2 linked regions of the Xenopus tropicalis genome follow. The protein of the gene in region 1 purifies or fractionates together with the protein of each later gene. This does not show direct contact. Links are inferred from orthologs where the notes say so. Each region holds a gene or a part of one and is shown on either strand. Other genes may lie near its edges. The genes, in order: neurog3 and c1qbp.

What was found.
Region 2: the proteins of neurog3 (region 1) and c1qbp purify together in Homo sapiens (affinity purification with mass spectrometry; 3 studies listed by BioGRID and IntAct, counting the BioPlex papers as one, with this or other methods). This does not show direct contact. The link is inferred for Xenopus tropicalis from reciprocal best matches to the Homo sapiens genes NEUROG3 and C1QBP.

The regions. Positions count from the first base shown.
Region 1 is NC_030683.2:45,189,416-45,193,223, reverse strand, and holds neurog3 (neurogenin-3), read left to right. Parts: upstream 1-1,497; 5' UTR 1,498-1,713; intron 1,714-2,078; 5' UTR 2,079-2,079; coding exon 2,080-2,760; 3' UTR 2,761-3,290; downstream 3,291-3,808. UniProt on the Homo sapiens protein: Acts as a transcriptional regulator. Together with NKX2-2, initiates transcriptional activation of NEUROD1. Involved in neurogenesis. Also required for the specification of a common precursor of the 4 pancreatic endocrine cell types.
Region 2 is NC_030678.2:105,098,039-105,102,310, reverse strand, and holds the start of c1qbp (complement component 1 Q subcomponent-binding protein, mitochondrial), read left to right. Parts: upstream 1-1,264; 5' UTR 1,265-1,389; coding exon 1,390-1,600; intron 1,601-2,499; coding exon 2,500-2,650; intron 2,651-4,029; coding exon 4,030-4,117; intron 4,118-4,272.

The sequences.
Region 1 (3,808 bases):
TACTGTGTGGGCGGATCCTATACCAGTTCTACATTGAAAATAAATAAACCTTATTGTACTATGTGGGCTGAAAATTCAGCAATACGCATTTTTTATGTGACAACTGTGGAATACAGTGATTTCAAAGCTGGACAATCAAAAAATATTTTTATGCTCTCAGTCATTGTACCATGAGAGAAATGGGTAATGGCACCACATTTATTTCATACAATAACAGTAATGGGTCCTGACCACTAGCACATAATTATTAAAAGGATGTAGGTACTGACTCCCCAAGCACATTATGTACAGTCAGAGTAAGTGGGTACTGGTACACCACTTATATTACATACTGCAAGAGGCAGTGCTTACTCCCCAAGCACATAATATTTAGTGACACAGTGGATGTTTAATCCACATGGAGTATTTATATTTAACAATTGATAACTAGGCTGGTTATTGCAAGAGAAGGGTTAATGCTTTCTTGGTGGAGATGCTGCAGAGCCAGAACTATACAGGGGCTGTAGGATTACTGTCAATGTTAGCAGTGTTTTGGAGGGGGAAGGAGGTGAAGCAGATAAAACAGCACTTTCAGCTTAAGATCACTAAGGGCAGGGGTACACAGGGAGATTAGTCGCGCCGTAACAAATCTCCCCGCAATGCCATCCCACCGGCTAGAATGGAAATCGTCGGTGGGAAGGCATACGCGGTGCCGCAATTTGCCGAAGTCGCCGACGTTGCCTTGAGAGGAAACTTTGGGCGACTTAGGCAAATTGCGGTGCCGCGTATGCCATCCCACCCCCACATTTGCCATCCCCTCCTTTTGTATAAGGTTTGTCGCGCAGCAACTAATCTTCCCGTGTGTCACTGTCCTAATACTGCACCAACAGTTTAGGAATGGGGATAATTACATCCCAAGTCACCTGCATCATAAACGTAATAGAAATTCCACCTACTCCTCCAGCACTCTGTAAAACATCCTTACGATGCTGCTGATTTTTCCATCACAGTTTAAGTCTCTGTAAATCTGTGCAGGAATTGGATTGACTGGAGGGAGGGAGGTTACAAATTGACTCTCCAGCCAATCTGATTTATGGGCAGCTATACAAGGACCTAAAGGTTTATGGCAAAACCAGCAGCACTAAAACTTGCAGGCATAATAGAAGACGCCTGCAGTGTTGTCTGCACTTTCACTGCCACCAACATCTCTCCCACACAGAGGGACTTCTCTCTAGCCTCCCCTAAAGCCTCACAAAAATGAATAATAAATGGGGAGGATTCTCAGTTTTCTCAAACTTTGTGCAAAGTGATCTGTCTGTGTATACTGCTGTGAAGTGCTGGACTAACAGTATTGTGTCACATTGGGGAGCCCTTCTCCCTCCCACTGAGCCCTTAATGGGATTCCAGCTGTGTGTCTGGTAGTGTGTGTGGGGGGGGGGGGGGTCGTGTGTCTTTCTTGCCTCTGATTGGCCATTTCCCAGCTTGTAGTGATCCAGGCACACTCCACACGAGGACTGATAAGATAACGTGTGCCAAGGGGGCATGCTTTGTATTGACTACCAAATCAGCATTGTCCTGGGCTGCATATATAAAGATTGTGAGAAAGTCTGTTGCTCATCTCTCACACAGTTCAGCTGTACAGTTACCTCGCACCCTTCTGTCCAACGGGACAGGGCAGGCAGCTCACCTTGCAGGACACACAACATACAGAGAACCCACAGTCTTGGTTTTGAGGTATGTACATGTACATACAATTTCAAACTGTCTTTGAAGTTACTTGTCTTATCAAAATCAGCAACTATATTGGATACAAACTGTTGATTAAGTGCAGAAAATCAGTAATTATACTGGATATAAACAGTTACAGTCAGTACCTTTGGCAGGATATTTGGCACTAACTCTAGCCCATAAAATGTGAAACAGCTTTGGACTCTGAGGGTGGGATGTTAAAATGTATCATTTTGTAAAAGCAATCATGTTGTGTACTGACTGCACAACTCGGGCATACTAACGCACAAAAAGAATTTGTACTGTTGAGCATTGAATACTGGAATGTTTAGATTTGTTAGAATTAACATTTTTCCCTTTGGATACTACAGGATGTCTCCCAAGAGTGACTGTCCCCATATGCAGAGGAGAAGCGAGTCAGAGCTTTATTACGAGATTTCGGACAATGAAGTGCCCCCTTTCTCACCCCCCTGCACCCCAGACTCCCAGTTAAGCCTTGCAGAAAGTGAAGACTGCACTTTGGTAGATGGCTACTCCCACCCCAGGGGGAATGAGAGAAAGAAGCAAAAGGTGAAGCGAATGCGATCAAAGGTAAAGAGCAACACCACTGTCATAAAACAGAGGAGAAATCGCAGAGTGAAAGCCAATGACAGGGAGAGAAATCGCATGCACAACCTGAACTCAGCTCTGGATGCACTGAGAAGTGTCCTACCCACCTTCCCAGATGATGCCAAACTCACCAAGATAGAGACCCTAAGGTTTGCACACAATTATATTTGGGCTCTGTCGGAAACTCTCCGGATGGCTGACCAGAGCCTCCTCAGCCCCGAGCAGCAGCACTTGTTGGACTCCTTAAAGAAGCTCCCCAAAAGTTGCCTGATGATGGATCTCTCCAGCCCTACCAGCAGCACTTCCTCGACTGAATGGGACTCTCTGTACTCCCCACTGTTCCAGGATAGTAGCCTCAGCCCCACCGGTTCCATGGATGAATTGATGCCTCAGTCCCACCCTTGCCTAAGACACAGCACTTCAATAGCAGCAGAGTTTGTGTAAAGCTGCCATACAGCTTCCCCTGCTCCTACCCATTGGCTCGTGTGGGACTCTCACCATATAGAGCCACACTACTAAGCTACCTAACGCATCTGCCTTCCCTTTAAATTATATTCTCTCTCTTCTTCCCATATTTGCCTTAACAAAGCATTCTCTACTCTGTGCACTTTGTATACTAATCACCCTTTGCCCCTTAGTTTGACGAGCTCTTATATACGTTTATATCCAACTTTTGTATTTTCTCCAACTTTTTCTTAGTGTGGAAATCGTGTAATTTTATACTGATTTTTTTTGTTTGTTTGTTATGGCTGGTATATGGCTACACAAGCTCTGTCAATATTATGCTGCATTGAAACAAAATGATTTCCCATAATCAATGTACTTAAATTATATAATTTGCTGTTCAGTGTATTTATTATTTTTAAGTCATAAGAAATATATATTTTGTACAAATGATAAGAATATTTTTTTCACACCAGCCAGGATTATTGAACTAAAAAATGCTGGCAATAAAGGTTTCTTTACAAAATATATCTATGGGTTTGTTTGTTTGTGCTTATTTGTATGTGTATTATAATATAAATAGACAAATTATTCACAATACAAAAAAAATCAATGTTAATGCTGCACATTGAGGAGACAAAAAGATGTTCAATGCATGTACACTGTCTCTGTATCCCCCTCTCCTTTATCCCCTAATGCAGGTTACTATCCTCCAGTGACAGATTCCAAACAGATCACAATAATTATTTCAATAACCTTTTTCATCCAGAAAATGCTTTATGGAAGAAGTGATTCATAGAATGTATACATTAACACAAAAATGCATGTCTGTGTAAGCTGTAATTAATAGTGCTATATGATATTTCCATCCTTGCAGGGTCTGCCCACAAATGACAATATAGTCCACTGGTAAAACTGGTAGCACTTGCCCTCTGAACAATATAAGGGCTCTGGTACACGGGGAGATTAGTTGCCCGCGGCAAAACTCCCTGTTCGCGGGCGACTAATCTCCCCGAGTTGCCTTCCCCCTGCCATCCCACCGGCGAAC
Region 2 (4,272 bases), on another chromosome or scaffold:
CATGAAAAAAGTTCTTTGGGGATGCCAAATAAGGACTGCTATTGGCTATTTGGTAGCCCCATGTGGACTGAAAGCCTGCAGGAGCCTTTGGTTGGAGTAAAACTTTAAGGCCACTGGGAGCAACATCAAAGGGGTCGGTGAGCAACATGTTGCTTACGAGCCACAGGTTGCAGATCACTGCACTAAGGTGGGCAATATTGGGCTAATTCTATCATTATATATCATTAAATTACAATGAAAAGACTAGAAGTCGTCAGAGCAAGGGCCACAGTGACAAGCCAATGTGGTCTTCAATCCCACAGTAAATTTAAACCAGCCCGATTTCACTGGCACATAAGGCCCCCCCTAAACCAGAGGGCCCACTTTTATGTTATCTTATCAATTTTTAAAAAAAAAAAAGTAATTTTAGTTTGAAAAATGACATTATTATTATTAACATTTATTTATAAAGCGCCAACATATTCCGCAGCGCTGTACAATAAGTGGGTTTTATACAGTGGAGATACAAAGTAAAATATGAAGCAATCAATAACTGATACAACAGGTGAAGAGGGCCCTGCCCAAAAGAGCTTACAATCTACAAATACATGGTGCTGTTCCAATATTTTGCTAAAGTGTCCGTAAAGTGTAGTAAGAGGAATGTACACTGGCTTTACAACCAGGAGCCATATTAGGATATATACCTCAAAGGCAGCTGCTTACAGACGGGAGCTGTTTGTTTGTTCAGGTAGAAGGAGAGCTTTGAACAAACAACCATGTTTAGAAGAAAAGAGCGGCTTATTTGAGTAAAAATAACCCAAATTTCAAAGTCATACTTTATAACTGCAAAAAATAAGATTTTTATTTTTTTTTAAACTGAAACAATATGCAGAATGCCATTTCAGCTCGAGTCCTATTTATTGTATTTATTTTCAGCCAAGGTGTTTTCAGGTGTACACAGTGGGGCAGAATATGCACGCCAACATCAGCAGTGATGTTGCCCCTAGCAACCAATCAGAGCTTTGCTTTTGTTCTCTAACTACTACTTTAGCTACTGATTGGTTGCTACAGGGTAACATCTCCGGTAATGTTGGCTTACACAAAACTATAATAAATATGACCCTTCAGAAGTACAAGCATTGTGTTTCTCCAAGCTGCCAGTCTATGTGACCAGTAAACCACTGGATTCTAATTTCTCATTTCAAGCGTTACAATACAACGTCTATATACAACAAAGGTTTCTCTTCCGAACGTATTCCTTACAGACAGAAGCAATCAACAGCGACCTCTGCGTGTAGCCAAGGAGACCTTGACGACACTTCCTGTGCTCCGCCTCCTTTTCGGGAGGTGAAAGGTCAGGGGTGTCACGGTGTCCTCTTGTCACACACACACGTGGGTATCTGCAGGACCATGTTCTCCACACTGTCCCGAGCTCTCTTATCCGCCACACGGGTAGCGGCCGTACGGCCCCAACAGCTGCTGAGCTCTTTGTGCACCGGACGATCCTTCTCACGCTCATTATGTTTGCTCGGGGGGAATCCGGGGCTCAGGCAGACTTTCCTGCATCCTCAACGTGGCTTCCCGGCCGTGTCCTGTGGCTGTGGGGGACTGCACACTGAGGGTAAGTGCTCTCCTGGCCCTTACATTAGTGCGCTATGTAAGGCAGGGTTTTGGTACCATTCCACAACTAAACTGTGAGCTCTTCGGGACATGGATGTACATTTTTTGTCTGTTCTTCGCGTCTGCCTCCCAGACATTTGTATGCCTACATCCACATACTGAAAATGCTTGTTTTTCTTAATGCTTGTTTCGATATCAGATTATAATATAAATGTTTTTTAAATCATTTTATTTCATGAATATGAGATTCATTATATATGAAAAATAACCTTTCTGTAAATTGTTTTGAATCAAGTAATTCTTCACTAGAGCTTTCTCAAGTATGCAGGCTTTGTGTCATATTTTGGACATATTTTTTACATTGTCGGGTCAGTGTTTCCTTTGCCTAGATGGTATTTTACATTAAATTATCCTAAAATACTATGGGACCAGATAAAGCAGGAATATGCACATTACAAATATTTTATTGTGTCATTGTTGAGATGTGAAATGATTTATTAGTGTAATTCCTGAATGATGTTGCATGTGTGACTTTCAGAGTTGTAAGTCATCCCCAATGGAACCAAAACTGTTTTATATACTACCTTAGTGCTCATTCCAAACAAGATACTGCAAACAGTATAACATGAATAAAAATGTAAGATATAGACATATAAGTTATCGGCAAGTACAATATATTCACTTTATTACAAAAAAAAATTACATTTGCAGGATACGTTTGCTATGTCCCGTTTTCTCAAAGAAAATAAAGACTTAATTCTTAAAAGTAGTATAGAATGTGTAATAGGTGTGCATGATCAAGTTGTTTCTTTAGAAGTCTGAAAGCTGATGCACAGTTTTGAAAAATAAGCTTCAAATCCCCCCTAAAATGTGTTGATTTATTTTTTATATTTATTGTAGGTGACAAGGCATTTGCTGAATTTCTCAAAGATGAAATCAAAGAAGAGAGAAAGATCCAGAAACATAAGAACCTTCCCAAAATGTCTGGTGGGTGGGAATTAGACATCAATGGCACAGAGGCTAAACTGGTCAGAAAAATATCAGGTGAAAAGTAAGTGTACTAATGATGGTTGCCTATATCCTAGCATATAGTTAAATGATATGATGAATCTGCCACTTGAGATAAAAATTATATTGTCCTCTTAAGTAAGCCTTATTTTTTTAATCCCCTAAAATTACTCTAAACAGCCCCCAGAATAACACACGTTTTAACCATGAAAATTGATTTTGTTTTTGTATTACAAGCAGCTGCATCTCCTTTACTGACTTGCTTGTCTAATGTGAAGCTCTGCCCTGTTTAGCTTTCTAAGCTCTCCTCTCTTCCACTATGAAGACCTTAAAGAGGTGCTTACTGGGCATGCTCACTGCCTCTGCACACAATAAAATCAATCAGGCATGAGGTCATAGTCGGAGAGAGGAGTGCTCCGAAAGCAAAAAGGGGAGGGGGCTTCCCCCTAGACAAGGAGGTCATTAAAAATGCTGTAGTTGAACTGACTGTAATAGGGAAACTAAAATTTGGATGAGAGAAAGGTATGTTGTTCTGGGGGCTGTACAGAGTTTTAAAAAAAAAAACCTACTTATTTTGACTTGTTCTTTTACTGACCCAATTCATCTTCCTGGGTTGATGTAGAGGCATTTTGTTAAGAAACATATTCTTGCTTCAGTGATTAAACATTGGACCTCAGATATAAGTGCAGTAGAATACGATTGTAATGTATTCACATTAAGCACAAAACCAGAATAATCTGCTATACATGCTCATGTATAGTCCACTAATATTTTAAGACAAGACAAGGAATTCAGGGGAAACATTATCATAATACCTGATTTATGATTCTTAATTTTACCTTTGCAATAGGCAGTAACAAATGAGAATGAAAATTAAATTGGAAGGAAAAGGCATAATCACTGAGGGGTGTCAAAATATAAGTGATTATTGGTGCAAGTTGACTATATTCCTGGATGGCCAAGTTGCTCCTATTCCTTCTTGGTTTACATTGCATTGTGGGGATGAGGTGATGTTCTCGTAGGCAAGATGTTAACATTTGTCCTCCAGCCTATCAGAACATTGTCCCTTCCCCAAGTGTGCTGTCACTCATGAAGATGTTTAACTTCAAGCCATGCAAGTTAGTAAGGGATGAGCTGGAGGAGGCAGGTGGGCACATACATTACAAAAGAATAACAGCACTAGGGTTTATATATTCCTGTTAAAACCTGGAATGTGCCTCTATCCCATTAAGACTTATTTTCTGGGAGTCTGAAAATATATTAAGTGTAGTGACAGCTTATAGATTACCAGCTAACCATTTAATGGCCAAATACATCAATATAATCAGCATGGTGGGTAGACTGGTGAAATCCTATGTAAACATATTGAAGTAGCATCAGTTATAATTACTTAAGCTTGGAAAATATATTTTGTCTTATTAGGATTGCAGTTACTTTCAACACAAACAATAGCATTCCACCAAGTTTTAATGAGGAGCCACAAGAAGGTCAGAAAGCTGAGGAGAATGAGGTAAAGTTGAACTTTTCTAAATTTTTTGAACTTCAAATTATATATAATATTATGCAGGTGTGCCCCCTGCTATTTTCTACAAAAGTTGATTAGGCGCATAGGCCAAGGATATTTTTAAGTTGGAGCCTGGTGCTATTTTTTACTGTATCAGCAAA